4 linked regions of the Drosophila melanogaster genome follow. The protein of the gene in region 3 interacts with the protein of the main gene of each other region in a pairwise test. Each region holds a gene or a part of one and is shown on either strand. Other genes may lie near its edges.

Evidence for each region.
Region 1: the proteins of CG15422 (region 3) and Rbp4 interact in a two-hybrid assay, tested with the Drosophila melanogaster proteins (one large-scale study listed by BioGRID).
Region 2: the proteins of CG15422 (region 3) and CG8086 interact in a two-hybrid assay, tested with the Drosophila melanogaster proteins (one large-scale study listed by BioGRID).
Region 4: the proteins of CG15422 (region 3) and CG17600 interact in a two-hybrid assay, tested with the Drosophila melanogaster proteins (one large-scale study listed by BioGRID).

Annotation. Positions count from the first base shown.
Region 1 is NT_033777.3:13,652,834-13,660,799, reverse strand, and holds Rbp4 (RNA-binding protein 4), read left to right. Parts: upstream 1-4,405; 5' UTR 4,406-4,495; coding exon 4,496-4,537; intron 4,538-4,598; coding exon 4,599-4,855; intron 4,856-4,919; coding exon 4,920-5,203; intron 5,204-5,315; coding exon 5,316-6,011; intron 6,012-6,098; coding exon 6,099-6,106; 3' UTR 6,107-6,244; downstream 6,245-7,966. Other genes in the region: Hrb87F (heterogeneous nuclear ribonucleoprotein at 87F), read left to right, coding at 413-460, 1,152-2,163, 2,236-2,333.
Region 2 is NT_033779.5:8,247,371-8,256,069, forward strand, and holds the start of CG8086 (uncharacterized protein), read right to left. Parts: upstream 5,597-8,699; 5' UTR 5,482-5,596; coding exon 5,473-5,481; intron 5,406-5,472; coding exon 5,225-5,405; intron 5,164-5,224; coding exon 4,858-5,163; intron 3,956-4,857; coding exon 3,854-3,955; intron 3,598-3,853; coding exon 3,493-3,597; intron 3,312-3,492; coding exon 3,213-3,311; intron 3,131-3,212; coding exon 3,032-3,130; intron 2,961-3,031; coding exon 2,862-2,960; intron 2,759-2,861; coding exon 1-2,758.
Region 3 is NT_033779.5:4,001,229-4,008,165, forward strand, and holds CG15422 (uncharacterized protein), read left to right. Parts: upstream 1-3,755; 5' UTR 3,756-3,827; coding exon 3,828-4,142; 3' UTR 4,143-4,442; downstream 4,443-6,937. Other genes in the region: CG34176 (uncharacterized protein), read left to right, coding at 2,903-3,154; CG15423 (uncharacterized protein), read left to right, coding at 4,885-5,208; CG43773 (uncharacterized protein), read left to right, coding at 6,475-6,702.
Region 4 is NC_004354.4:22,510,914-22,519,492, reverse strand, and holds the start of CG17600 (uncharacterized protein), read right to left. Parts: upstream 4,297-8,579; 5' UTR 4,205-4,296; exon of another isoform or gene 4,124-4,204; 5' UTR 3,900-4,123; intron 1-3,899.

The sequences.
Region 1 (7,966 bases), on a different chromosome or scaffold from region 3:
TTAAATGTTTCTTGGGTTATCGTGGTAGTAATTATCATAATCCATTTATAAAGATAATACATTCAAATCCGTTTGTTCAGAAATATATACAATAAACTTGTCTAATATTTTTAAGCCCTTACTAGACGAATACAAATTTATATGAAGATATATAAAATCAAGTGTGGCATCAGCTTAATTGTCGAGGAACACCCCTAACGCACCGAAACAATCGTTCCGATTCCACGTGGCGTCCGATTTTCCGACTTTACCCCGTTCTCGACACCTGGTCATACTGCTCACTCCATTCTCATTGTGCGTGCTGTACATTTCATTTATTGCCAGTCTGCCGTCAAAAAAGAACAAAAACAAAAAAAATATTTCCTGCGTTCGGTGTTTAAACTTTCCATCTTCTTGAACAACCAAGGAGAGAATGGCGGAACAAAACGATTCCAACGGAAACTACGACGATGGTGAAGAGGTGAGTTGCAGAATGACCAATTGCTGTTTGTAAATCGTTCATCGCGCGTGAAAGTGCAAAATGTCGACGCCGACAATATTCGTGTATAATATACATTCACGCCGCTTTTTTACCGAATTATGGGGGCCATCGATCCCTGTGCGAATTTAGCCAGCTAAAAGTTTATCGACCTCTTTTGGCGAGAAATATAAGCAATTTCCGATAAAAAAGTTGCCGGCTGTTTGATAAAAAAGAAAACGAAAATTCATACATACATACACATATACGGGCTGTCATGGCGGTGCAAATACTAAAAAAAAAAAAAAAAAATATGGCGAGCGGCTTTTTCTCGCCAGGTAAATTACTATTATAAACAATGGCAAATCCTTGTTGATCAAGGATGATTTTGCACTTTTATCGTTTTATTGACATAAACTTATTGACTTATTGACAGCAACTTATTTTTTTATTAAATTTACAGCAACTTATTATACATTTAAATATTTTTTATACATTTATTCATTTAGATACAGTATGATTTTTTTTTTTATTATATAAATTTATACATTTTTCGCAAAGTTTGTCCAAAGAAATCAATTAATTTAATTTAATATTACAACTTATTTTCGAATCAATGGGTTTTTTTTTTGTTTTTAGAAATTATTTAAATTATAGAACGTCTTTAGCTAATGCATTTGAAATTCACCCGCAGATCACCGAGCCAGAGCAGCTGCGCAAACTGTTCATCGGCGGACTGGACTACCGCACCACAGATGATGGCCTGAAGGCTCACTTCGAGAAGTGGGGCAACATTGTCGACGTGGTGGTGATGAAGGATCCCAAGACGAAGCGCTCTCGCGGCTTCGGTTTCATCACGTACTCCCAGTCGTACATGATCGACAATGCGCAGAATGCCAGGCCACACAAGATCGATGGACGCACCGTGGAGCCCAAGAGGGCTGTGCCACGCCAGGAGATCGATTCCCCGAATGCGGGAGCCACGGTAAAGAAGCTCTTTGTGGGCGGGCTTCGAGACGATCACGATGAAGAGTGCCTGCGCGAGTACTTCAAGGACTTTGGCCAGATCGTGAGCGTGAACATTGTTTCCGACAAGGACACCGGCAAGAAGCGCGGCTTCGCCTTCATTGAGTTCGATGACTACGATCCCGTTGACAAAATCATCCTTCAGAAGACCCACTCCATCAAGAACAAGACCCTGGACGTGAAGAAGGCTATTGCCAAGCAGGATATGGATCGACAGGGCGGAGGTGGCGGACGCGGAGGTCCTCGAGCTGGCGGTCGCGGTGGTCAGGGTGACCGCGGCCAGGGAGGCGGTGGCTGGGGAGGCCAGAACAGACAGAACGGTGGGGGCAACTGGGGCGGAGCTGGCGGCGGCGGAGGATTCGGCAACAGCGGCGGTAACTTTGGAGGCGGTCAGGGCGGCGGCTCTGGCGGTTGGAATCAGCAAGGCGGAAGCGGAGGTGGTCCATGGAATAACCAGGGTGGCGGCAACGGCGGCTGGAACGGTGGTGGTGGCGGCGGCTACGGCGGCGGAAACAGCAATGGCAGCTGGGGCGGTAACGGTGGTGGAGGTGGTGGTGGCGGTGGCTTCGGAAATGAATACCAGCAGAGCTACGGCGGCGGTCCACAGCGCAACAGCAACTTTGGCAACAACCGTCCAGCTCCTTACAGTCAAGGAGGTGGTGGTGGAGGATTCAACAAGGGTATGTTGGGTTATTAAGTGATTTGACCATAATGTACATAATGTACTTAAACCATGCATTTATTTTTTACAGGTAACCAGGGTGGAGGTCAAGGCTTTGCTGGCAACAACTACAACACCGGAGGTGGTGGCCAGGGTGGAAATATGGGAGGCGGCAATAGACGTTACTAGACAAGGTAAATATAGATAACCTGGACGACAGGTCCTATCCCATCGTACAATCTCAAACGCTCGGATCTTTGGTCGTTATTGGCAGCTAGTTGGTAGCCTAGCCATGCAATCAAACTCATTTCGGAACGATTCGAAGCTAATGCAAAATTTTCTCCTCTTTCGCAACTAGGTAAACACACATAGAGAGAGAGAGTGTGTCAGTTCAAGCTAGACGACAAACAGGCAGTCTAGGCAGGCAGATGCAGAGGGACAAGCACATTCACAGGCAGGCAATCAGTAGCATGTGTGTGTCAGACCAGGCAGACAAGATCAGAACCAAGAAATCAAGATGCAGAACCAAGAACCAGGCCGTGCGCAAATGCAAACGATAAATCAATCAATCAGGTTTGGGTCCGGCCGCAACCTGCAGGCTATAGCCATAATCCACTTGTCAAAAGCACCAAGCAAATGATTATGCGTCAAGCAAAACAGCCAAAAGCGAAACGAAACGAAATCCAATCGACGCCACTTGTCCACAGTTTGAATGCTGCTATCTCTCTTTTGTAACCATTAATAATTCGCTGATCGATTTATGTTTAGGGTCCTAAGAACCCCGAACGCTTAGTTTTAACCATAAACAAACAAAAGAAACAAACACAACAAAATATAAATTAAACAATAATTTTATTGTACAAAATTGACTACCAACTGAGCGGCGACGGATTCTCCTTGAGATTCAGTCGTTGTAAGGGTGTTATAAGGTAGAGCACTTTCTTTATATTTATTCATGATTTTATTGTTTTTAGCGATCCAGCGAAATGTAAGAAATCAAATAGTACCATATTTTGTAATCACTTTTTTTGTACAACTAAGAACCTTTATGATTTGTGGCAAGTAAGATCCCAACTCCTGAAATGCGAATGCCACGCACATTTGTGTACAGGCTGCACAGTGGCCGAGAAATGGTGTCCTAGCGAGCAAAATCCATATATGCATACCAACTCTGTTAGTCCCTAAGAAGTAGATGCTACGTTAAGCCAGACTAAAAAGAAAAACGCTAAACAAATATCACAAACATTCTGTAATTAGTTCGTTACGAGTGAAACGAAAGCGACAAAGAGATACAAGCAAAATAAAATCCTAACCAATGTTACCTACCCACCCAAAATGAAACGAAACGAAATAATCACAGGAGCAATGCCCTAGCAAAGAGGAGCAGCAACTGCAGCAAAATCCGGGTTTTCCGATCCATCCCAGATCGGCAGGGTAGCGGGCAGGGCTAATTACCGTCACTAGAGACCCCCACCACCTAACCCCCGGGCAAACCGCCGCATACTAATGCACTGACTATTTCTTTGCAAGACTGGCCGGGCTACGGACGGAAGCTCCCTCCCGGGTCCGTATACGAAATCTGGGCTGCTCCACGCACCGGTTCGTTTCCACCAGGTATTAGTTAATGGTTTTAGACCGCAAAGCAAGCGGTGGCCCAGGAAGAACTCACTGGTGGACTTTGGTTGGTGGCTCCCTTCTGGCTAACTTGGTGGGTACAGCGGAGGTAAGTGAAGGTAACTAGTCGGTATTCTACTAACACCTCATTTGTTTCTGAATTTTTCAATAAAGTACAACTTTTACTAGCAAGAACAAGAGCTGTATTTTATTTTCTGGGGGCGATATTTTATAGGGTTACGTATAAGGGTTTAGGCCCTATCGATTTATTGGCCTATTTGTATCCAATAATGCTGAATCATCTAAAAGTGACAAGAACTTTCACTACCAAGAACAATTTGTTCTATGAATACCATAAATGTTCAGTGGATTATAGCCGGTTTTCGAAGGACCTAGCTTTCTGGATTGTATTACGAACTAAATTCTTATGAGATCAATGGGGTTTTTCTTCTAATAATGCATAAGTAGGGTTTTTTGCTAGGACTACGAAGCAAAAGAGGCGATATTATAGGGATTTATAGGGTTACGCTTTAAGGATTCAAACCCTATCGATTTATTGGCCCATTTGCATCCAATAATGCTGAATCATCTAAATGTGGCAACAATATTTTTGGACCTTTTTCGATAGTCCATAACTATAGACGTTTGGATTTTCTTGCCTGTCATTCAATTTGTGGTTGGCTTCACCTGAGTGCTGTAGTAAATCAGGCTATTTTAATTTTGACATCTCTTCGAAAATGGATGCGGGAAATTGTGCCTCGTCGGCCTGCCTTGGAGATGTAAGCTCATAATCCCCCAAACTATTCATAATTATCAACGAAAGTCGTTGTGTGTGTGCAGTGCAAAGGCGACGGAAAGACGGCCATTAAGGAAGAAGGCTACGAGCATTTGCGCAAGATCTTCATTGGCGGCCTATCCACTCAGACGACCGTGGAAACGCTGCGCGGATTCTTTAGTCAGTTCGGTATCGTGGCCGATGCGGTGGTCTTGCGGGATCCGGTGAGCAACCATTCTAGGGGCTTTGGCTTCGTCACCTATGTGGATCCCAAGTCCGTGGAAATTGTCCAAAGGGCACGTCCCCACACCATTGATAATAAGTGAGTAGTTCTCTAATAATCTTTCGCTGCCCTAATTCTATAAAAAGTTGATTAATTAATTTAGAATTGTGGAGACCAAGCACGCACTGCCACGTCAAGATTTCAAAAGGGGTGGCGGCGTTGGTTCCGTTGTCGGAAGTTTTGGCTGTGAAGCCGGTTTCATGAACTCGAAAAGGATCTTTCTGGGCGGCTTGAAGGAATACCACGATGAGAATATCGTACGCGAATACTTTTCGCAGTTTGGCCCTGTGGCCAGCGTGAAATTGCTCATGGACAGGGAGACCGGACGTCAGCGGGCATTTGGCTTCCTCGAGTTCGTGGATCCATCCAGTGCCGAGAAGGCATTGGGTAAGTTTCCATGTTTCTCATTTATTGAAAGTCATCGTGCATTTTTTTCAACTACCTTTAAGTATGATATAGATTAAAATCTGATGATAACGCTGCTTGCTTTGATTTTCAGCACCGCGCAAGCACTGGATTCTTCAGACATTGGTGGAGGTGAAGAGATCCACCCAGAAGGCCGACAGGCGTTTTCGGTTCCCCATATTTAGCTCGGTTCGAGCCGGCTACATTCCGCCCCAGCCGGCCACTGCTGATAGCTACAATTACAACAATCCCAACTACAATCCCTATCTGGCCCAATCCGTCCTGCCGCCATCGGCATTCACTAACGGCTGGGCCCACTATGTAATTCCGATGGCACCCAAGCCAACACCCGGACAGAACATGGCTGCTTCGTTGCCGTCACAGCAGCTGGCAGAGCACTCGCTCAACGGACACGGTCCGGACATGTGGTCCTCCTATCCGAAGACCGGTATCTACTCGGCCCAGGAGTGGACTTCCAGCAAAGTGGCCGAATGGGGACCGAAGGCCGGGCACAAACATGCCCAGACATCGACCAACGATCGTGCCAAAATCGATTTGAAAGAACTCCAGGCAGCTACTTTCAATAACAAGCTGGATTTCGGCGCCCGTGGCGACGCGGATCGCATGTCGGGAGCTGGCTTGGGATTGGGTTTGACTGGCGGTGCCGCCGTGGGAGTTGGAGCTATTAAGAAGTGGCCCACCCAGGACTATAAGGTCTTCAAGCCAGCTAAATCTCCGACCAACGGAGTGATTCCGAAGATCGGCAAAGAGGCTACAACACCACCCTACGGTTCATTTTTTTCCTTAAAATTTAATTTAAATTTAAATTTAATTTAAGAAAGAGAAAAGAATCTAAAGTATCTTTTTATTCTTGCAGGTATCTAAGTGGCGGACGATGGAACGCAGTTAAACCCAATTTACTGCCACAGTTTAATGCTATTACTACAATAATTTGCAGGCGATTCCGTTCAAGATATTTAATAAATAATAAAGCATACGGGTCCTTTTGAGACTTAAAATCGTAAACTCTTGTTCTTTATTTATACTATTTCTGTTGGTTTTTTTTTTATGTTTGTTTCCATTTAAAGTATTGCATGTATTGCATGAGTGAATTGATTTTTCGCAAATGTTTTATATCTGAAACGCTATAAAACGCACCAATGAATTGTGACTGGAATTTTGTGGGCTGGCTTCTTCGACTGGCTTGTTATTAATTAAAATTATGCAAATTGCTATCGATTGCTCGGCTTTGTGCGCATCAATTTCATTTAAATGCTGAATGCTCAGTAGTTCTTCAGTTGTTTCAACACAAAGGCAAATGGGAATTGGATTCAGTCGCTGGATAAGTAAAGTCGCCTTGATAAGTAAAATTACATATCCTTGTGAGTTTTTCCTTTCAGATTTCTAAATCTACGACTTGGTGTTTCTTTTAAACGCATTTACCAGAAAAGGAAATACGAACCGATCCAAAACAAATGTGTGTGTGTGTTTTTTTTTTTTTTTTTGAAATGAAACAAAATCATAAGTTTTCTGGTAAACACGCTGAATCTTTGTGATTGGTTTTTATTATTATAGTTATTTTGTAGTTGTACACATATAAATTAAATTATAATTAAGTGTTTCCCTCCTTTTCTCTGTACTCTTTACAAACTGCAGTATTGTGATTTCATCGGTTTACTTAGAAATGAGCATGAACTCTAATTGTTTGTTTTTCGTTTACTCTTACATCGATTTAGTTAGTACCTCTGATTTGTATTGTATTGTTTGATGCTGTTTTCATGTTTCTTATTTTTTTTTTTGTTTGTTTATTATTTCTATGATGTTGTTGCTGGCCACGGAGCACTTTCAGCACTGATCGTTGAGCTAAGGTTTGAACACTAACACTTTCGTTTTACAAAAAATGCACTAAAATTGCTTTAGACCCTGTTCACAGTGCTAGAAATGCGTGGTGTTATATAGAAATAGTTGTGGAAATTGCGATTGTAATTGATTTAGCAATTGATTCTCTAGGGCAGGCGTCGAACAACAAAAACAAATGATATGTTCCCAACGAATTAAAAGTCCTTAAGCTTTAACAAAACAAGAATAACTTGGGCAATTATATATATTTGGACGCCTGCGACAAAACTCAAATGATGCTCACACGAATTTAATGTTTTCAGTTTCCTAATCGCTTTTCTGCCTTATTTTTATTTTGCAGCAGCAGTTATATAAATATATATATATATATATTTATGTATATTTAGATTTCTGGTAAGTCTAAAAGTTAACATTAAATTATATGAGTTTTTGTTTTGTTTATATATATTTTGTATATATTTGTTGTTACATGTTTTGCTTGTTTTACCTTGAGAAAAATGTTAGTAGCTTGTGTCTCGTCCCCCAACTATTTATTATAATAGGTTCTTGTGTGTTTATATGCTTCACATCTTCTCTACTCATTTCGTTTCATTCTTTTTTTGGGCTTTTCTTGATTTTATTTAAAAAATATGTACTAAATTTTAGTTCACAACTGCGTTGGAAACACCAAATCGTTTAAGTTGCTTGACTTAGTTTGGTTTACGACCTTGAACTTATTACACAGAACGAATAAAAGAAAAGCGAAAACACTGACCGTCCGTCCGTCCGTTTATTCCTGACCATCGATTGCATCGAACACGCACCCACCTGCGGCGCCGGCACCGCATTTGCCCTCATCACACGCTCTCATCTCCACACTCTTCCGATCCAAACCGATTCGAAGCG
Region 2 (8,699 bases), 4.2 Mb from region 3:
AGTGATCTCGGATCGTGTTTGCCGGCGAAGGTGAACGCCGGATTGAAGTCCTGCCTGACCTTCTCCGGGAAGTAGTCTCCGGGTGCGGGCGTTTCGCTGGGCTTATGCAGGTCATGGCGACCGGCGAAGGAGAAGGCGGGATTGTGATCTAGCCTAACTTTCTCGGGATGGTAATCCCCGGGAGCTGGAGTGTCATGGGTTACCTTTGGATCATGCTTGCCGGCCATTGTAAAAGCAGGATTATGGTCCTGCCTAACTTTCTCGGGGGAGTAAGCTCCGGGGGCAGGAGTCTCATTGGGCTTGTGGAGATCATGACGGCCGGCAAAGGAAAATGCGGGAACATGATCTTGCCTAACCTTTTCAGGGTGATAATCTCCTGGTGCCGGTGTATTGTTCTCCACCTTGGGATCATTCTTGCCCCCAAATGTAAAAGCTGGAGTGTGATCTAAGCGAACCTTTTCGGGACAGTAGTCACCAGGAGCTGGGGTGCCATTGGTAATCTTCTCAATGTATTTACCAGCCATTGAGAATGCGGGATTGTGATCTTGCCTCACCTTCTCCGGTGAGTATGCTCCTGGAGCAGGAGTGTCGCTGGGCTTATGAAGATCGTGACGACCGGCGAAGGAGAAGGCGGGATTGTGATCTTGTCTAACTTTCTCGGGATGATAGTCACCTGGAGCTGGGGTATCGTTTTCTACTTTAGGATTGTTTTTACCAGCAAAGGTAAAGGATGGTGTGTAATCTAGACGGACCTTTTCGGGACTGTAGTCGCCAGGGGCAGGAGTATCATTGGAAACCTTAGGGTCATGCTTTCCGGCCATTGTGAAGGCAGGATTATGATCCTGTCTGACTTTTTCAGGAGAATAGGCTCCAGGTGCTGGAGTGTCGCTAGGTTTTTGAAGATTATGACGGCCAGCGAAAGAGAATGCTGGGTTATGATCTTGCCTAACTTTCTCGGGATGATAATCACCTGGAGCTGGGGTGTTGCTCTCAACTTTGGGATCGTTCTTTCCCCCAAAAGTATAGGCAGGTGTGTGATCTAGACGCACCTTTTCCGGACTGTAATCGCCCGGAGCTGGAGTGTCGTTGGCTACCTTTTGGGTGTACTTACCCGCCATTGAGAAGGCAGGATTATGATCCTGACGGACCTTTTCCGGACAATAGGCACCAGGGGCGGGAGTATCATTCGGTTTGTGAAGATCATGACGACCAGCAAAGGAGAAAGCTGGATTATGATCTTGCCTGACCTTTTCGGGATGATAATCCCCAGGAGCGGGAGTATTGTTCTCTACTTTCGGATCGTTTTTGCCACCGAAAGTGTAGGCTGGAGTATGATTTAAGCGTACTTTCTCCGGGCTGTAGTCTCCGGGAGCGGGAGTACCATTAGTTAGCTTTTCAACTGGCTTGCCTGCCATTGAAAATGCTGGGTTATGATCTTGACGTACCTTCTCGGGAGAGTAGGCTCCTGGAGCAGGAGTATCACTTGGCTTTTGAAGGTCGTGACGACCGGCAAAGGAGTACGCTGGATTGTGGTCCAACCTCACCTTCTCCGGATGGTAATCTCCTGGTGCCGGAGTGTTATTCTCTACTTTAGGATCATTCTTTCCCCCAAAACTGTAAGCAGGTGTGTGGTCTAATCTGCACTTTTCGGGACTATAGTCTCCTGGTGCCGGAGTGCCATTTAAAATCTTCTGATCGTGCTTGCCAGCCATCGTGAAAGCTGGATTGTGATCTAATCTCACTTTCTCCGGCGAGTAAGCACCTGGAGCGGGAGTCTCGCTTGGCTTGTGGAGATCATGGCGGCCAGCAAAGGAGTACGCTGGATTAGTATCTTGCCTAACTTTCTCGGGGCTATAATCACCAGGAGCAGGTGTATCGTTGGTAACCTTGGCATCATACTTGCCGGCCATTGAGAAAGCTGGATTGTGGTCCAGTCTCACTTTCTCCGGGAAGTAGGCTCCAGGAGCGGGAGTGTTGTCTGGTTTCTGAAGGTCGTGACGACCGGCAAACGAATATGCGGGATTGTGATCCTGCCTAACTTTTTCGGGATGATAATCACCCGGGGCCGGAGTGTTATTCTCTACTTTAGGATCACTCTTAACGCCAAAACTGTAGGCGGGAGTGTGATCCAAGCGGACCTTCTCGGGACAATAGTCCCCAGGAGCCGGGCTATCGCTGGTCACCTTTTGACTGTGTTTCCCGGCCATCGAGAAGGCAGGATTGTGATCTTGTCGCACCTTCTCCGGGGAGTAGGCGCCCGGAGCGGGTGTTTCACTGGGTTTGTGCAGATCGTGGCGCCCGGCAAAGGAGAAGGCCGGATTGTGATCTTGCCGGACTTTCTCGGTGTCGTAGGCTCCCGGTGCTGGTGTGTCGCTTGGCTTGTGCAGATCGTGGCGACCGGCGAATGAGAAAGCGGGATTGTGATCGTGCCGCACTTTTTCGGGACAGTAGTCGCCCGGTGCCGGAGTGGAGCTCTCGAGTCGCTGCTCGTGCTTACCGCCGAAGGTGAAGGCCGGCGTTCGATCGTTGCGATACTTTTCCGGGGCATACGAACCGGGCGCCGGAGTCTCGCTCACGGACCTCGTCTCTGGGCGTCCGGACAGGGTGAATGCGGGCGTGTGGTCCAGCCGCACCTTCTCCGGATTGTAGGTGCCCGGCGCTGGCGTGTCACTCGACTTGGCCAGCTCGGCACGGTGGCCAAAGCTGAAGGCAGGCGTCCTGCTCAGGACGCACTTCTCGGGTTCGTATGCTCCGGGTGCTGCAAGAGATTGGGTGAAGATAAGGTGTAAAAAGAGTTGGGTTTTGGTGTGCGGGTCGCACGCTAAGACTAAGATCCATTGAAATGCGATTCTAGAACTCACCAGGTGTGCAATCGACCACGTCCTGCGAAGCCTTTCCGGCGATTGAGTAAGCGGGTGCGGAGTGCAACCTTGACTTTTCGGGGCTGTAGGCACCGGGTGCTGGTCATAAGGACATAAAAGTGTGCGCTATAAGCCAAGTTACTACAGCCCAGCTGAGCGGGAAGCCTTACCTGGAGTATCGCTGACCTGGATGTGTTTGGTCTTCAAGCCAAAGCTGTAGGCGGGAATGTGTTCGAGGACAACCTGCTCGGGCTTGTAGGTGCCTGGCGCTAATGAAAGTGTCGTCGTGGTGAAAGCATCAAGCAGCTATATTAACGTGGCTCAAACCTACAAGGCATACTGTTTACAAACCTGGAGTGTAATCTGGTCGCTGTTCATGGTGCTTGATGCCGAAACTGAACTCTGGCGTCTTGTTGAGCTTCACCTTCTCTGGACAATATGCGCCAGGAGCTGCGGATGGGATGGGATATCAGTATTAAGTTGGCCAAAAGTCACGGGAATAGAAAAGGAAAGCGCTATAGATACTGTCCAATTGGGTACGCTTGAGCAAGTGGTGCCTCGATTGGGGTAGATACGGATACAATTACAGATGCAGATACAGTTACTTGGGGGGGAGGCTGGGATTTATTACCTGGTGTGCCCTGATCGTGTTCGATTTTAGTTCGTCTACCGAAAGTGTAGCGTGGCGCATTCTTTTTTGATTGCGTGACCTTTTCAGGGCAATAGCTATTCGGAGCTGTTAGTGTTAATAAAACATTCGATTTTTAGTCTACTCGAATCAAAACTAAAGGTCTACACTAGGTGAGCTACGACTAAGTGTGGGTGAATTACAAATAGATAGATATGTATATACGGATAGAAAGATACATTATTTCGGGAATTAGTGATGAGTTGGGGATTAATTGATCGGGTTAGAAGTTAGAGAGCGGAGCTAGACCAACACCAACACTAAAACGCAACGTGGACGAAGTTTGGACAGTTAGTTGGGTTACCTGGATTGTTAACCAAATACACGTTAACCTTAATGCGAAAGGAGTAGCGTGGGGCTCGCCGCTTGACGACATCAAGTGGCACCACTTGATAATAGTTGGGACCTGAGTCTCGATTTTGCCACGGCAATCATTCATTGAAAGAGAAAAACGTTTCAAATTAAAATCAAATCAGGCAACATAACAAAAAAAAAGAGGTCACACAAATTACTGAACCACTAAAGTAACACATATACAAAGAACACTGTGTAGCTAGGAAATAATAAATGAGAATTAGAGAATATGTATAATCTTAAATAGAAATATTTATGAGAAATTAAGACATCTGATCTCCGTTTCCGTTTGACTCATAAATAAAAATAACTGAGCCAAGTTGTAGACAATCTTTCACAAAATAGATGACCGTATAAAGACATTGCCAATTCCTCCTACGTAAATTTGTAGCTTTTTTTTAGGGAAACAAAGAAAGTTTAGAGAACGAGATATGAACAAATCGAATAAATAATAATAATGCCCAACATTATAATTAAATACTTTTTAATTAATGTACCAAAAATAATAGAATAGAATAAGCCAAATCATTCACGCACATTACGAGGTGACATAACTACGATTCAATCTCAAGGATACCCAAAGATACAGCAGAATAATCTACGAAATGTGGCTACGACTACACTAGCTACTGAGATAGAGATAGAAAGTGGGAGAAAGTGGAAGAAAGGGGCGGTAGCAACTTACGCGCTGCTTGCAGTAAGGATGCAACTGGCATGGATTCGGATTAGTTAATGAGTACGCTTCTATGTACAATGATGATCCATGATTGAAATTGATTGATGATCTCCTCAGTCCGCGCATGCAACCAAAAAAAAAAAAAAAAACAGCACCAGCCCGCAACAAACACCGAATTCAACGCCAAATTCAAAGTCAATTTTCAGATCCAACTCCAAAATCCAACATCAGGTCCAAAAACACCATTCAAACACCAGTGGAAGAAGACCGAGACTCACCTGGTATCTGGAAGGTTTTCAACGCGACCGGCCGTTGGCCAAAAGTGTATTTGGGCGTGGCATCGATCACCGCCTTGGCCGCCGGCACCACATCGTATTCCCCAGGTCCGGGATTCGAGAAGCGTGTTAGTTCCTTGGGTCTGCTCTGCAGAGTGGCTGCTCGAGGATAATCCCGACCCTTGGCTCGCATACCCGTAACATTGTACTGCGCCGGACCCGGTCCGGAGGTGTCATACTTTCCGCCCAACTTGTGGCCAAAGGAGTACGAGGGTGCGGCCTTCTTCTTGGAGTCGGGAACTTTGCTGCCTAAATGTGGGATTTTCAATAAGTTATATTTGCAGGAACATTAAACCAATCTTAAGCTTACCTATCAAGGTTGGAAGTTGGACAGTGGCTGGACCCGGATTGGTGGTCTCGGCGGCGATCTTGCCGATCCTAACAGTTGGAGTCCAAGGACGCTGCTCCACGTTGCCGCCCATGTTAATTGGACGAATCTTACGCACGCGGGCGCAGGGTCCCTGATCCTTGTTCTTGTTTTTGAACTCGACCTAAAAAGGGGAAAACAAACAACAATATTAAGAAATCCATTAGTTATTTAGATCTTCAAGAAACCACCTTGTTCATCTTGCTGTTTTTAGGCTTAGTAGTATCGAAGTCTGAAAATTGTGCCCCAATGTAAAAAAAAAAAGTTAAAGACCAAATTTACTGAACTCCCTTCGCTGACATTTACACGTGTGAGTGGGTGATAGGCTGACTACTGAAATCTATACTTCGACCCCCAAACTTGGGTAACCTAATAATCCAAATTTCGTCCTACTCCAACAGCCAAGTCGATGACACAAAAATCAATCGTCTGGCATTTGTTTCGAACTTTCTGGGCCAATTCCGATGGGGCGGCTAATAACCAGGCGTGTAGCTCCACATATTCATACCATCCATGGGCGAATGGATTCAGTGGATGGGGGCGTGTCGTGTGGCGGCTGTCACTCTTTTTCTTCTCCTTCTTCTGCAGTGGCTGTTGCTCGGCATTTGTTGCAGGTTCCTTCTGTTCGAGCCGCGAATTTGTTGCGCCGCACGAAATACAAACAATGGCAATAACTTTGCGGTAGGCTCGTAATTCTTGGGCGTCAGTGGCAGGCACAAAAGTTGCAGGGGTTTGCAGTGCAACCAAAATAAAGTTAAGAAACTTAAATTACAGTCTTATTATGTCTTTGCCTTTCAGTTGTATTTGATTTTGAATAGAGAGCAATAATTTATATATGTAATCGAAGTTTGTAAAGGTGCCTAAATATATCTAGCATATATTGAGCTTCACCCTTTAAATTGAATTTCCCTATAAAAAGGGAACAATAAAATACGAAGAGAAAACCAAATGAATTTTAATGCAGTTACCACGGTAGACAATTTTATTATACATATGATTACCACTAAGTCGTAACAAAAGAAGTGCACAATAAAAGTGTTTCCAGCTAGTTAGGAGCTAGACAAAATGAATATTTTAATGAGAGGCCCCCCTCAACAACATTCGTATTCCCCAAAACCTGCTGCTGCCCTGGGTGACGACCTTCTTTTCACAGCTCAGCACACGGGACACCAAGTGTTGCCCATCGACAGGCGGGCAGACATCGGAAAACAGACCGGTACCAGCTGGTATCAGGAGTTCCAACCACGCTCCACCTTACCAACTTTCCACCTTTCCACCTTTTTAGCGCCAGGAACCAGGCATTTGGGCATGTAATCGATATGGGGCTGGATTTGGATACGGATACGAATTCGACGGGCGCCGAGATTTGGGGTCTGGTCAACAAGGTTGTGTCCCGAATCGAAGCGAAACGAAACGAAACGAAGGGGAGTATGCTAAGTGCTAATGCTGCCCATTTTGTGGGGCATGTAAGCCAACAAAACGATTACTTTTAATGACTTATGGCCGACAATTGCATGAACCAAAACAAAAACAAACCCAGGACCCAAAAGAAATGCGAAGCGTGCCACTTCTTTTGGCCGTGAAAATTCGCCAGCCTGTGTAAATAATTACAAACAATGTTAGGGGGCGTGGCCTGGCTGTTAACAGGGCCAATAAAGCCGTCGTTCTGCTGCCAAGAAAGGCTTCACTTTTCCCGCCAGCCGCACTTGTTACTTGCTACATATGACTCCTGACCTCGCATGCAATTCACATATACATATGTATGTATTTATGTACAAAAAACAATGTTCTCTTCGCAAGGCAGGCAGTCATCAGGCGGTCTTATAAGGCGACTCTTACATCACCATCATGAGGTTGGAAAGCCCACACACCGTACCGCCTGTTCAATTGCTGTTCGAGGCCAAGATCAGCGAAGAAAACTGAAAATCTAACGATGAATCAGAGCCGGCAGCTGAGCCAACAAACTCAGACATCTGTCAGACAAAGAGTCTTGGCCACCCACCCACATTGCTCGCATTGAAGGAAATCTGTCTTAATATGCACATATGGCATCGAAAAGAGATCAATTAAAAATCTAAAAATATATTAAGCTTAATTGTGAAAGAAAATTGTGATTGAATAATAGTCATCTTATACATAAAAGCATAACTGTCAAGATTTTGGAAGCATATAGTAGAACAGAAAATTTCAAAACATAAGATATTGCATTTGATTGTCACGCTTTTTTCTATAAACCATTAAAAAAGGGGTTCAAAATACAAAATCATGTATGCCTTATATATGACTTTAATTTATCAGCCAAGTTATTGCCACCACCAAATAGTGTGTGCTATTTTTCCGAGTGCAACTTCAATTGAATAATGTTTGGTTCGCCCGTTCAGGAGGTCGCATTTAATCACGTTAATAGAGCGTTGGCTCATGCAATCAATTTGCATGTGGCGATCAGATTTCAGTAATCAAATTATAGATGGTGATGCTCGATAATCTATGCACGGGGGTCAGTGTATAAACCGGCTAAACTATATAGTTTATTAAAATCGCCCCCACACACTCGACTTTCGATCTCTCTTTCTCGCTATAAATATTTGCTTGCATTTTGTGAATAACAAAAACTGGCATTCATTATTAGTTACAGAGAGTTTCAGCAAATATTTTAGCATTATCTCTGTGACCTTCGGTGATTTGTTTATGATGATGTGTTTCTGTTTGATTTAAATTGATATTCTCACAGTTGACCCGATGACTCTGCACCCGTGACGAAAACAACGCGTCAGCTTTAATTTGTGATTTTCACTCTAAAAATATAAATAAAAGCTGTAGGTAGCCTCAGCCATAAAACTGAAATACCCTGTAAGTGAAGTTGTGTTTACTAATCTGTTTTGATTGAATATAATAGCATAGGTTCGAAATAAGTGAAAGAATGCCTAATATAGATTCCTTAACATGGAAATAATGTTTCAAATTGTATAAATATTTCAACAGTTTTTAATCACATAATCATTTTTAATCATCGATGGACCATGTATCGATATACCCCCCTTATTTACTAATTGTGAGGTATCTGTATCTCTGACATGATCAACAATCATCTCAACTCAGTGAAAACGTTTTTATGTTCTTTCGACTTCATTTCACGCTCTCCAAAACTGCGAATTAAATATGAGCTCATTCCCAAAATTTAGACAATTTCCAGGCGGCCAACTTGGGGGCTTTTACGCCCAAATACGGCGGCCGACGTTTCCTTTAGCCCACATTGAGTTGTCCGAAAAAGCCAGTTCGGAATTGGGTTTCCAGACGGCAGATCGACCCACGCAGAAACTCCATGACTCCGCGATATATAGACATACAGCCAAATAGCCATAATTCGTGTGCTGTCTCTATTAACTATTGCCTCTTTTTTTTTGTAAAAGTTTAATTA
Region 3 (6,937 bases):
CAATTATACGGCGGCACATGAAAGTGAGATCCGGAAATTGGCTTGAGTTTATGTACATGTATACGCATAAGAAGACCTTGGTTTTCCTGGAGTTCTGGGCGTGCAAACCGCAGGCATTAAAGGGACAACTTTGTGCTCCCTTCAACTTTTGCCTCATTTTTGTTTCTTTCGCTGGTTAATTTTTGCGCCTCGCGAAAAGAAACAAATTTTCATGCAAATGGAAATGGAAAATGCAAATTAACAAGTTCCTTAATGGCCTTGTGGGCGTAAGGGGGAGTGGCGGTTGCTGGTGTACACCTATGGCTGTAAAACTGTGAGCTGATTTCAATTAAAAGTTGAGAGGAACGCAAGCGTCAGTGCTTCTAAAACTATTGTGCATAAGAAACCGTTTTAATTTACAATATAGAGTTCAAAAATGTAAAAATATGTAAATTCTTTTTTTAATAATATTTTTAAAAATATTTAAATTATTGAATATGCTAAGCACATTGCCTAATTGTAAAAATATTCGACAACATTTTCGTAGTTACGCTGCAAGATTTCAAGAGTTTAGCAAAACTGTCAAGTCATCCCTCACCTCTGGCAGCATTTTGCCTTTCCGTCTTCAGTTTTACAACTCTATCAATCATCAACTTGCAGCGAGTGCCTGAAAACGGTAGCTCAATAAAATGTTCTTGAAAATGTTCGAAAAACATCTCAGCCCAACCCCGAAAACACTTTTCAGATACGAGTATTGCCATGACATGTCGACAAAAGCAATGATTCCTTTTGGGTAACCCATTTCTGCACCAACCGATTTTCCAACTTTCCCGATTTTCTTGCCAACTCTTGCTGCGTTACGCGATTTCCCAGCCACACTTGCATGTCATGACATGAGCAGGAAATGCGTTTTCTGACGCCGCTGCTAAAGAAGCCTCGTAAAGGTGGTATGCACTGAAGAAAAATGCATACAATCAATTTTTTCATAAATCCTTTATACACATTTCAACGTACATGTTGTTATTCTGTATAAAACCGATATTTTTTTTTTCAAAATTTTAAATCCCTTTAAAAATAATAATTACAATAATTTGGACTTTTGTGCGAAGCTGAATTTTGCAAATACTTTCATTTGATTTCTCTCAGTAAACGGGTTGCGAAATTTCGGATAGCTGCTTTTCCTGGTTTCTTGGTTAGGCTTACGGTTACGGTTTTTTGGCTATGCCGTGTGCCTGGTTCCGTTTCTTGTGCACCAAGCGGAGCGCCATAAATATTTAAATTGTGCGACGCCGCCGCCACCGCTTAAAACCACCAGAACCACCATCCCCCCAACCACATCCCCATCCATTTGCAACACCCCTTTTGCCACGCCCCCTTATGCGCCTGTCTTGCATGTTGCTTGCCGGCTTATTTTTTGACAGTTATCGATTCGAGGGCGCTGCCTCAGTTTCAGCTGCAGATTCAGATCCAGATTCAACTCCCGATTCCAAGCCCCAATTTTCTGATTTTGATTCTTCACTCGGGGACAGAGACATTTTATCTTGCCAGGACTCAATTCATTTCCTAAAATATGCACAAGGAGTTAAAAAATACATGTGGAAAAAGCGGAGGCTTCAAAGATGACGCACTTAATACACTTTTTCGAGTAAATTCGCTTGAGAAATTTTCTTTTTCTTCAGAGGTCTTGAAAATTTACATTATTTTTTATCCCCAAAGTGAATTGGCTACGTTTAAACTATCGTTTTTGCTATGGACAGTGATTTCATTACAGCCAGTTGGGATTTCCTTTTAATGGCTATAATAACTAAAGTGAGTGACTGTCATGCGGCCTGCCACGCCCCACCAACGCAGCGCGCCCACAAAAGCTCAGTCGATATGTTGCGCGTTATGCGGCACTCATTTCCTTCCTTCTTTTGCGTCAGTTGAAAACTTTGCCCGAAACTCGTTTGCCACTTTGTGCATGTTTAACTTTTTAGGGCAAGCACCCTTAACCCTTAAGCCGTAACCCTTAACCCCAGTTCCTTGATCGAAGTGACAATTCAAAGAGCGAATGAAATGCGAAATGCAGCACGAACCACTCAATTAAGTACAGCCAAAAAGGCTGCCGCTCTCCTGGTTGTCAAATCGAATATTCCGAATTTTATTTGATCAAGTGATTGAGATTCAGAGAGTCCCGAGAGACTTTTCTTGATTGACCGTCAGAAATTACCATGTTTTTCTATCCATACATTTAATATTTACCCACGTCGCCCCTCGAGGCAAAATCGTGTCTGCAAACTTTGCATAATAGACGTGCAAATGTTTGCCAAATATTTGCCGGCTAAGGAAAATGTGTAAAGAATTATTGGGAATTTTTCGGGGCTGAAAATTGGATAAATATTTGTGGCTTGACAACATTTTCTCAAGCTAAAGTTTGTTTTCACTAGAGTTAAGGAATTTAATCGCATTTAACCAAATACAAATATTTGCACGTTGGTTCATTTCCTTTCTTCGTGACAACGAAATACTTTATTTCTTTTTAAAACTTTAAACAAGTATTTACATGACTATATGTAAGTTAAGGAGAAATCCCCGGAAAAAACCAAACATGACTCATTAAAGAAACGAGGAAAATCTATTGATATGCAGGCTCAAATTTGAATTGAAAAGCTTATTCGAAAAAAGCTTTACCATTTGCCAATTTTCAGTTTATTTATCGATAACTTTGCTCTAGAAGCAATACTTTCGTCAATAGAAATAATTAAGAGTACCTACCTACCTATTCGCTATCAGCAAATGCTGATATTGAGCTTTTTTATGACGGCAAATATTTTGGCGTTTGTTTGGTTAGTCAGTCCCATGAGTTGGGCATTCGCTTAATTCAGTTACCAGCGATAAGTCGACACATTTGGACGGACTTTCTACAGAAGATTAGTGCACCACTATGCCACCACCACCCCACGATCATTGCGGCGGACCGCCTCATCGTCGTGGACCCGTGATTAAGGTACAGATTGCACCACCATGGCCACGCCGCCATCACCGCCCACCACCCCAAGTTGTGGTGGTGCAGCAGCAGGCTCCGCCACCGCCACCAGTCATGGTGGTGCAACAGGCGCCTCCGCCACCGTACTACCAAAATCCACCACCACCACCACCGCCCGGCAGCAGCCACTACCACAATCCACAGTATTGAGAAGGAACTTTGATCTGTAAAATCCTTCACAATGAATTTATACCACGTAGCCTTACTTAACAACTATATGTCCTCAATAAAGTATAACCTTATAAACTAAGTTTTAGTTTATAGTTTTTAGTTTTTTTGCATATTTGTCATGAGTAATGGTTGAGTTTCAATCGAGTTGATTCCATCACACACACTCCCTCTTTTTATTATCAAAATCTCTAATCCGTGTTTTTTTTTTTTAAGTCTTTATCGGAACACCTGGTTAATTTAGACGGCAATCACTTGTTGTTTTGTTAATGTCTAGCAAAACTTTAATTCATTTTCACCAATGCTCTGTCAATGCTTCTATGCTCCTATATCAGAAATAATAACGCGTTACCCATAGATAAGCCGGAATCAGTTAATATAGTAAACAAAATGCGAGTAAAATAGCGAAACCCGATCACCTGTAAATGCACAACTGTCCGGTCGCTGTTATCAGACCTTGTCGAATGACTAAGCCATCTTATCTTTGCCTCTAACCACTGGAATAATTCCCACAAACCCTGATTGATGGAGCTTCGCAGTTCCAGTTTGTTTCGAGCTAGACGTGTTGTGCCACGGACTTTCCAGTATTCAACGCGTTGCTGGGTGGTGAAGTTGGTTCGGTTGGCTGGTTGATTATTTGGCTAGTTAATCAACTATGCGGTACTATGAAGATCCATGTGGCTATCCTCCTCGCCATCACCATGGTCGTCCAAATATCGAAATTGATGTGGTTCCCGGTTGGGGTGGCGGCTACTATCCGCCGCCGCCTCCGCCTCGGCCCGCCGAGGTAGTCTACATGACCCCGGCGGCTACCTATGTGCCCGGCACACAGGTGATAATGCCGCAACCCTACGGCGGCGTCACGGTGGCCACCACCAATGGATACTATCCGCAGCAGCAGCAGCAGGCGTACGAGTATCAGTACCAGTATCAGCAGCCCTACAACAATCCACCGTATCCGCAGTGGTGAACGAGGTCGGAATGGAAACGAAGCCATCACCACTAACAAAAAAAAAATATACTATCGATGGAGTGAAGGAAGGGATAGATAACAAGAAATCAAAACAAATATCACTTTGTCCTAATCTTAAGTTGAAATGACAACGCAAATGGTGCAATGGTCTTGACATTACGCACCACAAAGTTAACAAGTTAATAACCAGAGGAAGGTACAAAAAAACAAAACTGGAATTTAACTTTAACCGTTTCAAAGAAAATATAATTGTGCTATATAACCTTAAAACGAAATAAATAAAATATCTTGCTCTTCAAAAAACCTACCCGTCTTTAATTCTAAAAATATTCTAAATACTGCATTATCGATTTTATTTATGTTTATGTAATTTAGTGTGAGTCATCAATCAGAAGCATGGAATTAAGTCCTTCCTCTTAAATATAAAATTGTGATTCATGGAAACCTTGAACTCTCCTCATGAAATTCAATTCGGAATTTCGTATTTATCAAATGGCACTTATCAATTTTATTTTTTTTTTATCGAAAAAAACACATTTATTCCACCTGACAAGATAACCAACTAAGCTACTGTGCAAAACGCACATAACAAAATTAGGAAAAAAAATTCCCCCTCATTAGCGATAAAAATTGACTTAAATAGTTAAGCAGGCGAAGAAGCAAGTTCAGTTCGAGAAAGCAGTCAAAGGCATTCACTTCACCCACTAAGGATACAATACTTGGATAGTTTCTGAAGAAAATGCCGTACTACGAGGAGGAACGTCGTCATCACCATCATCACCATCACGGTGGAAGGCCAATTGTAGAGGTGGACATTGTGCCGCCAAGGATTCCTCGACCAGTGATTGAGATCGGAGTGGGCGGCCGGTATCCACCACCACCGCCCAGGGTGGAGGTCATCACACCAGCTGCCGTCTACCAGCCGCCACCACCACGACCCATTATCGAGGTGGATGTGGTGCCACCAAGAGCTCCCTTCATCGAGTTCAACATCGGCGGTCGGCGTCCACCTCCCAGGGAAGAGGTCATCATCGTTCAGCAGCCCCCACCGCCCAGGTGGTAGGCGTGGTCTCCATATGACCGTCGTTCAACAACGAAGTAAAAAACTTTAAAAATATTTATTAAACTTCATGTATTTCTGCAAATAGAAACTATAAACTAACTTTTTACAAAACCTAAGCTCTTGTATAATAAAAATAAAAAATAAATAAACAGTTCACTCCTTCATGTTTGAATTTCGTGTTTATACTACTATATACTATAGTATACTATATATTACGCACATATTTCTTCATGTAAGCTGACATTTTAATTTGCCTCAATCTTATTGCCAATGCAATTGTAAATCCGCTCGAAATATTTGCTTAAATAACTTAAATGCACTTTACCTTAATTGAAATATACTTGATTGGTTTTCAATGTCGGTTCTTGCTGTGACACATTTTCATATTGCGAATATATATGCCTGCATTTATTTGCAATGTTAATGGTACAAATATGAAAATTGAACTGCAGGCGAACGACATAAACAATGGTCATGGTCATGATTCCTTTTCCACTCTCTATTTTCCGTACGGGTAATTGCTTTCGTGGATTTTTTGTGGTTTTTGTATATATTATTTGGCTTCGGTTTTGCTATCTGACTGGTGGGAAATGATTGATGTCCTCTGGTCGTAGCCAGCTTATCAATTATTGTACAACTAGTGCTGTCAGTACATAAACATATTTTAAGCTTTATTATAACGAAAACTGGGCAATAGTTTTCTCAATTTAAATGGCGTAATAAATATAAAAGATCTTGCTGGACTCAAAGTAAAATTTGAATTATGATTTTATATGAAAAGTTATACCATTCTTGCCGTATTTAAATAAGAATTGCATATCCAACTATGGCTTAAAATGTATATGTATACAAATGAAAAATATTTTTCATGATAAGAGTTCGGGAATTGATATCTAAAAAAGAATTAATTACTCATGAAGAGAAGAGTCAAGATAATTATTTTTGGATTCTTAAACTATCGAGAATAGCAAGTAAAAATGTATCCTAAAAAACCACTTAAGAAGAGGTCTATGATGAGTCACTCTAGAATGAAAAGTTCAACATCCCTAGAACATATGAGTCACAGAAAATCGAGGGATTGAGAGATTGAATCACAACTGCTGCAGCAGAATTACGAGTTTGATCCATCACTGTTGTGATAAGCGAGTCCTCAATTTTTCTTATCGCATTCAAACTGGCTGTATAAAAAGGTTATAAGTTAAAGTTAAAAGCCAAATTGAAGTGCAGTCGAGCAGAGACAACTTAGAGCCAAGACAAGACAGAGCCATGTCCGACATCAATATCAACCTCAAGTGCGCCGAGTGCAACCATCCTCGAGGAGTCCTGTACTATGCAAATCCCCTGGCTTGGGGCCGTCCTTGTCGCCAGTGCCGCAGGATGATGTCCCGAAATGTTGTGGTTGTTCCCACTCAGGTTGCAGTTCCAGTTGCTACCAACAACAACATCACCACCACTACTACATTTGTACCAGTCGCTGCTGTGTCCACCCAATAAATGGAAAAATATGCTCTTCAAAATATAATAAAACTTTTGAGAAATCGAAACAGTATTTTCCTTTGTTTTACATTTGAAAAATAGTATTATAACATTCTTTAAGCTGTGGATTTACTGAATGATTTTTTGATCAAACTTAAGTTTGTTTGTATTATCTCTAAAATTTTAACTTTGAAGAATCTGCTGATATTGGGAAATGGCTATTGGATTTTGTGGCCAAAACACTAAGTTTTCA
Region 4 (8,579 bases), on a different chromosome or scaffold from region 3:
TCTATTTAATTGCATGGATCAGTCTTACCGACTATAGTCTTACCTACTATAAACGTAGGCATTGGCTTTATTCATGTTAATTTAAACAATTGCGAAGAGAAAGTTACACTCATCAATAACACTGACGATAAACGAGAATTCTTTTTGAAAAAATGTTTCATTGAGAATAGGAATTAAATTGGAAGATATATTGACCATTGTTGATAATCGCCTGCATGATTCCACGATTTAAAAAATAAATTGGATTTACTGGCCGATTTTTGAATTAATACAATTCGTAAATACTAGATTCGTTCTAAAGTATGCAACAGGCAGAAGGAAGCGTTTCCGACCAGAAAAATGATGAAATTTCGCAAATGATGAAATTCGCATTAACACTAACCGAGTAAGGGGTATCTGATAGTCGGGGAACTATATAGCATTCTATAGTCATTCGACTATAGCATTCTCTCTTGTTTTTATTTGGTCTCTTCGTGAGATCGACATTTTTTTACACTTAAAAAAATGTAGCTGTTAGGATGATTTTGGTTTGATGTTTGATACCATATTGAGGATTTGGCGATGTTGTATGTTAATTATTTCTTGAAGTGTTCTCTTTTATATATTTAAGGTTTTCAATAGTTGAATTAATAAATACCTTCATGAAAAATGTGGAAATAATATAAGACTCCGACTTTGGGTGCAACTTGGCAAGGCGTAGCGCAATGTATTGCATATATCGCATTTGGTTAGCTCGCGACGTGCCTGCCTAATCTGGTTTAAAAAACAAACGTTGCACGCAATCGAATTCGCATTCACAGTCTCACAACCCGATCCCCCCGGGGACACAGCCCCCATGATCTACGGTCTCCGCTCCCCAATCTGCGGACAATTAAGGCGGCAAGGTCGTCGCCGTTTGCCGCCGCTGGAATTAACATTTGAAATGACTTCATACGAAAATAATTGCACGAACGGAAAGAGATCAAGCGGCGTGTCTGCGGAAAGTGGCTGCTGGCTGCAAAGTGACTTACGCACTTGCCACGAACACTCGAAAACGAGTGCAACGCACGCGGCTAATAGCGGATGGCCAACAGGCCAACTGGTTAACTGGATAACAGGCCAATTTATGGCCGAGCTTATGAAATTCAAAAAAGGGGCCACAAAACACCAGACATACATATCGCGGCGGCAATCAAAATGAATCGAAACGAAACCAAACACTTGCCCGATCGCGAGGAAATGAAGTGGTGGGCCGGGCATATCATTAGATGGAACTGTCGATTTTCCAAGGTTGGAGGTTTCAAAGAAATAGTGCAAAAATTTTGAACTGCTATTTAGCTTTATGAAAAGTACAACAATATATTGTATATCATATTATAGTAATAACTCTAATAACGATAACTCTATAATAATTTCAGAGCACGAACTCATAATATCTTTTTGTTTTTGCTAAATAAAAAGTTAGGATGTCCCAGTTCAATAATCAGTAGTTGACATACATATAAGACGCTCTACACATTTTCTGCCTGTGCACTGTGCGTCTGGTTCCCCCTTTCACTTTCAATTAGCCAGTGGGCAGCGCGGCTTTTTTGGTCTCTTTGCAATTTTTTCGTTTCGTTTCGCATTTATTATTATTTATAATATGCGCATTTCAAGGAAAAACTTTCGCTGCATGCAACATTTGGTGTGTGGTGTGCGCTGCATTTCCTGCAATTATCGCATAAGTACGCGTGCTGAGGGCGGAGAATGGAGTGGAGTGGTGAGTGTAACCGTCCCGACTATGATTATGAAACTAAGAGTACAACTCCATATGAGTGTCCATAAATGTATCAAGCCATTATGCAGCGTGTAACGTATTTGCAAATGCGAGTTTCAAGACCCTTTATCGAAACCTACCGCTGCTCAATCGGGTTCGAAGATACGATACGATCACTGGCATTACAGTCGATTGATAATGCAATTATTGAAATTCTCATCAATCAGCTAGTGGAAATGCGAATGCAAAATTTCATAATTTTTCTGGGATATATCGGCAGATATGCGTTGGAATAGTGAGGAGCGTGCCTTTGCCGTTGAGGTCTACTTTTCAAGTGGATGTTCGGTTATTAAAACACAGCGTGCATTTCGGAATAGCTTTAATTTAGCCCCGTTGGCTAACGTCCCAGACCGCAAATCAATTGTCACATGGGTCACTACATTCAGGCAAAGTGCAAGTGCGACGAGACGCAGAACTGGAGTCCCTCGACCCGTTAGATCACCTGAGAACATTGGGATCGCCACGGCGTTCTGTGAGAAGAATTGTTCATGATGATCTTCAATTTTATCCGTATAAGATGGCGATAGTGCAGGAACTTTCAGAACGTGACTTCAATTCTCGGATGAACGATTCTTCTTGATGTCATTCCCGAGGATGCTATTGTTTATATTTTAGTGATGAAGCCGATCTGTACCCTTGTGATTTTTTTCTATGGGGTTTCTTGAAATCCCGTGTTTATGTGAACCGTCCAAGAACCCTACAAGATTTAAAAACCAACATCCAAGAAGAAATTGACAACTTAACACCTGCTATGCTAACAAACAAGAGTCACGACAAAACGCCAGAAATCGGTTTACGCAATATATGGAGAATGGGGAATGTCACCTATCAGATTTCATTTAAAAAAAAATAAATAAATAAAAACTTTAGACATGTACCTACATTATAAAAATAAACAAATATCTTTCGATGCCTACAAAAGTTTTCATTGAGTTCGTAAAAAAGGTAATTATGCTGCCGCATCCTGTAGTTCCTGCGATTTCGACGTTCATACGGAAAGACGGACAAAGCCAAATCGACTCGGCTATTGATCCTGATCAAGAATATATATAATTTATATGGTCGGAAACGCTTCATTCTACCTGTTACATACCTGTTACGTACCTGTTACATACTTTTCAACAAATCTACAATAGTATACCGTCTTACTCTACGAGTAACAGGTATAATTTTTGGAAAGAAATTACGTTATTGCCCCCATAAAAAAATTTATATTTTATATAAAAAAAAAAAATAAAAAAAATTATTTTTAAAATTTATATTTCCGACTCATCATTGATTTGAAATAAAATAAAAACAATACAGACTAACTTTTGATTGAGACTCAAGTACAAATTCAGTTCCCATCGAATTTGGGCTGCAATCCACGACAAATTTTTTAAAACGAGTGCAGTTTCCTTGATAAAGTCTTGTCAACTGCCTTCGCTCTTTTATACATATTAATTTTATTTTTATTATTTTTTTTTTGCTTGCTGGTCAGCCCGAATGAAACAATTGCTAAGAGGATTTATTCCGCGGAATATAAAGTATTTATGAGGCGTTTTTGCTGGATTGCTGGGTACAGGGGCAACAATTTGACAACCTTAGGACGGAAGCTTGTTAGGTCTTTCTTTTAATGACTTTGCCTCGAGACTTCGAAGCACTTAATGTACGCTGGTCAGCTATTCGTTTTAGAGCCATTAGAATGCGAAAACATCTCGAAAATGTAGAAAAGGTTGCGCTTAGCAGATATGTATTCAAAGGCAACATTTAAATTCCTAGAATTACTGTAGAACTGCAGAACTGAAAGCTTACGTAAGCCTTGCTTATCACCCTTACGTAAGTTACGCAATTTGTCAAAATAACTTTGACGAAGATTAGCATTTCAAACAACTGTTGTTATTGTTAACACAAATTAGACATCTTCCACTTAAACCATCTGTAGATTTCAGAGAACATGTTTATCTGAATAAGTTACTCTGGGCAATTAGTTGATTTTGTGTGATTTCTCAAGTGCTCTAGAGACTCTTTCTGTGCCAAGTTGTCTGCGTATGTTTTTAAAACGGTTTTCTGTTTTTCAAGCATTCGTCAGTCTTTTATTTTTAGTTTATCTGTGCAAACTTACTCTAATTAAAGCGGCGTCCCTGGCCTTTGTGTGTAATATTTATTTATTATTGTCTATTTATCAGCTATTTTCTCCTGCTGCGCCTTTGCGATGTGTTGTGCGCTATTATTGTTGCTTTATCTCAGGTTGAATGAAATCAGCCCGCTAATTTTGCTGTTGTTTTCGCCGGCAGCGTGCTGCGTGCAATTAAAATTCAACAAATTCCATTTCACTTCAACACACAACTGCAAAAAAAATACATGCGGCGATAAAATATCGAAGTAGGCAATAAAGCGATCGGTTAATTGGCGATTCACACACGGTACCGTTACTCGAAGACAGACGAAAGCAGAAGGAGAGCGCAAGACAGCGAGCATGCGCTTGCGAGTTTCTCGGCGGCGCGTTCGTTTCTAACTGAAACCAAGTTGATCGCTTCGCGCGCTTTCAACCGCCGCATTTCTCAGTCGACGTCGCTGGCCGAAAAGCTGGCAAAGCGGAGCCTTTAACTTTTGGTATGCCACCATACTGTTGTTGCAGTCGATGTCGGTGATGGAGGCCCCAAAAGAAGTAGCTACACTTGTTGTACATATGTATGTATGTACATATGTGTGTATGTATATTTGTACGTACCGTATGCACCTTCCACCGAAGACCTCCGCGTAACATTAGAGTTGAATTTCTTGCATAGCCCGATTTGGCTGGAAAACTCAAAAAATACCACCGGGGCATCACTGTTCGGACAGTTTTACAACCTGTTAGCGTAAATCTGCGCTTAAAGAAGTGCCGACAATCAACAACAAACGGTAATGAGTGTGCGCAGGCGCAGCAACAACAACGAACTTTCGAATATTGAACTTTCTGCCAGCATATTCAACCTGGTGACCGCCGTTAAATTATAATCAATTTCAATTTCAATCTGCTCTTCACCTGCAGCTGCAGACAAAAGGAACAATTTGCTGACGTCACGCCGGAATGCTGCGACAGGCGAACAAAATTGAGAGTGATTTCAGGGCGAAAAATCAGGTGGAAAATCGGGGAAGAAAATGATTAAAGAAATAACGAGAACGTGGGGAAAATACATAGTTAGCCCGCCAAGAAATCTACATACGTATATAGTTCTGTTTATTTCATCATTGTGAATATAGTACATATGTATGTACGTATTTCATTACATCTAAGACATTGAGATGTGATAAAGAAAAATTGAGTATAAAATAAAGAATATTGAGTATAACATAAGTATAGTTAACTTATTTATTTTTACCAATTATATTATGCACCTTTATAAATTTTATATACCAATCTCAGTTGAATAAAAAGTAGTTTCCCATTACTCTCCATTATTCATTAGCAAGTTTTTTCAATGCTGTTGCCTTGGGTTGGATTGAAAAAATGCGTTTTGTTCATTGCCGAGAAAGACGTGACTGGAGAATCTTTTTTCGGCTCGGGCTTTTCATGGATATTTTAGCCTATTGCTGTTATATAACTGCATTCGTGTTTCTGGGATGGCAAAGAAAAAATGGCAGAGAGTACGTTTTGTAAACTGGAAAGGCGTGTAACCGATGCAATGCGAATGCTTAACGGCGGCAGCAGCCCACAAGAAAGGCAGCAGATCCATAAACAAAAGGCTACAAAAAATATATTCCGAAATTATAGGCCATATAAAATAACCCGAAAAAAGAAGCGGCTACCATTTGAGTTTGGACTTAAACATTTTGATTACTTTTTGGCGCGCAACGCAAGCACCGCGTCTGCTCTTAAGTAAAGTGCTTTAAAAAGAGCTTTCAATCCGCGTTATATGAAAGCGAAAACAGCAAAAACATGTCACATCATTGAAATAGCGAAAGAAGATGCCCAGGAGCTGATTTGTAGTGACCCAGAATAGTAGCAACATCGAGAGAAGTTCCTCGACTACCAGATACCCGTTGATCAGCTTGGAGGACTACGAGATGGAGTGCAAAATAGATAAACGATCAAAACATTCTCACAAGTGTGGGCGTTGGAGTGGGCGTGGCAAAAAGTTTTTGGCAAATCGATAGGAATTTACAAGACATAACAATATGAAAAAATAGCACAACAATTTTCAAAGTAGGTAGCTTGTGGGCGTTAGAATGGGCGTGGTTTGTTGGCGCTGCGTCTATGTTCCTAGAATCTGTATGCCTAATCTTAACCTCTTTAAGCTTTTATAGTTGCTAAGATCTCGACTTACATACGAACGGACAGACGAAAAGGGCCAGATCGACTCGGCCATTGATCCTGATCAAGAATATATATACATATAGAACAATATATATTCAACGAATCTAGCATACCATTTTACTCTACAAGTATACGGGTATAACATTTACTTTACGCAAGTGGTAAAATAAAAACACATGAGACAACAGAAACTCAAGCCCGAAAAATGGAGAGATACTTAGTCAATTGCACAAAAACTCCTGGCCGGCAATTTCGTGACTGGTTTTCCACTTGTTTGTAGTCTTTTCTCCGCTTTTTCTTCATTTTGACTTTTGTTACTTCTGGCACTTGCTTTATGTAAGTTGCAACCTGCAGCTGCTTGCTGCAGTTGCAGCCGCTGCTGCGACACGATTGTGTCTTTAGTCTTCCGTTTTCTTTTCCATTTGGCGGCGTGCTCATAAATCGCTGATCACATTGCGAAATGAACTCCATGATAAGCAGAAAAGATATCCATGAATACGATATCGCATATCGGCTGATTAAGAAGGAGCTTATAGTATATGTACATATTGTACATTTTTTGTCTGTCCAAATATGTCGATGAACTAACCGGCTGGCACGGCACGGCTGAGAATAGAGTTGTGCAAGAATGCAGTTGATATGTAAAAGGAAATTTATGAATATTTGTAGACAAAATAATAATTCTTGGAAATTGGGCTGCACCAGATTTCTACCATTTCAACTAAAATATTATATTCGGTCTCATAAGAATATTAGTTTAAACAACACAAACTAGCAGTCACTAACAAATCGCAAATGTGTGTTAAATGTACACCATATGCACGCACACACGTATCCGATGAATTCCCCTTAGCCATTAACCAGACATTCAATAAGTCTAGGGCGACTAAAAAACGAGTTCACTACTTTGATTGCCGATCGGGCCAAGCCCAAAAATGAAAACACGCAGCAAGTGTGGTACACAAACTGGCACAGCGCAATCACACACACACACACACAGGTGACAAAATCACACGGATACGAAAGTTCAGAGATATGAAAATTACACAGATACAGCAACAGTCAATGATCTTTGGGAGCTGTTCGGATTTTTTATTTGGGGGCTCCGGCGAAAGACCAGACCAAACGAAACTCGCACATTTTGCCGGCTGCTTTCACTCTCCATTGGGTTTTGGAATTCTTTCAAAATGATGTTTAAGGGGCAAGCGAAGAGAGAGAGAGTTGAATAATTTCGAAAACGTCGCCTGTTGACGACTTTTTTCCTCTCGTTCACATCTCAGTATCTTTCACTTGGCAGGCGGGGCGTATGCGCGATTTGAAATATCCATTTTTTAGCCGCTTCCTCCGCCCTGCCCTTCGACCAACAAATGCTATGGTGCGTAATTAGCTTCAGGTGGGATCAAACAATGCAAAGCTCCGGCTCATTGGACACATGATTAATGAGACCCCTTCGAAAGACAAATCAAACAAGTGGTCAAGAGGATGGTTGAAGCTCCCTAAACACTGAATTTTGAGTTGATCAAAGTGTCTTTCAATCTGCTGTACCAACTCTTCGCATTTCAAAGCGAGAAAGACAGACAGACAGGAGAAAAAGCATTTCTTATTGGGTCCGAGGTGAAGTGAAAAAGAAAGTGAACAACATGTCTAACACCGGTTGACTCTTTCCCCGCCGATCTGAGATCTTGTCGATTCTGCCAGCAGCCGAGAAGTGAGCCACCAAACGAGCTTAAACATTTTCTATTATGCAAATATTTGGGGGGCTGCCCGCCGCTCGTTTCCATAAGGTAAATGGAGTCAAAAAAATCGAAAAAAAAATTCAAAATTAACACACCAAGCAACATAGTTGCGGAATGTTAGTGGGCTACGCCGATTTTGACATTTGTTTGGCAAATGCATTCGTTAGATAAGTAACTAACTAACTATTTTGTATTTTTCACTAATACTACATATGTACATATGTATATCTATGAGGCTTGAAATAATGCTTACTTAATAGAAAAGCAATATAATATTTTTATACTACAATAGATACGTTGACAAGTTGAGAAAGAAACATTTCCGACCACAGAAAGTATGTACATATATGCATTTCTGTCCATATGAAAGCCTCGATCTTAGAAACTATTACTGCTCTAGAGTTAAGATTAGACATAAAGATTTCAGAGTTTGTTTCTAAATGTTACCACGCCCACTCTAACGCCCACATATCGCCCAAAACTGCCATGCCCAAAATCTTGAAAAATGTTTCGATTTTCCATTGCTTTATTGTTTGTCTTACAAATTTCTATCAATATACCATAAACACTTTGGCCACGCCCTTCCTGACATCTTCAATACGCCGAAAACGATCACGCCCACGTTTTTGAACATTTTTGAATTTTTTTTCCCATTTTATTCCCCAATATCTATCGACATCCCATAAAAATGATAAAAATTTCGCGTTCGCATTTCCACTAGCTGAGTAAGGGGTATCTTATAGTCGGGGAACTCGACTATAGCATG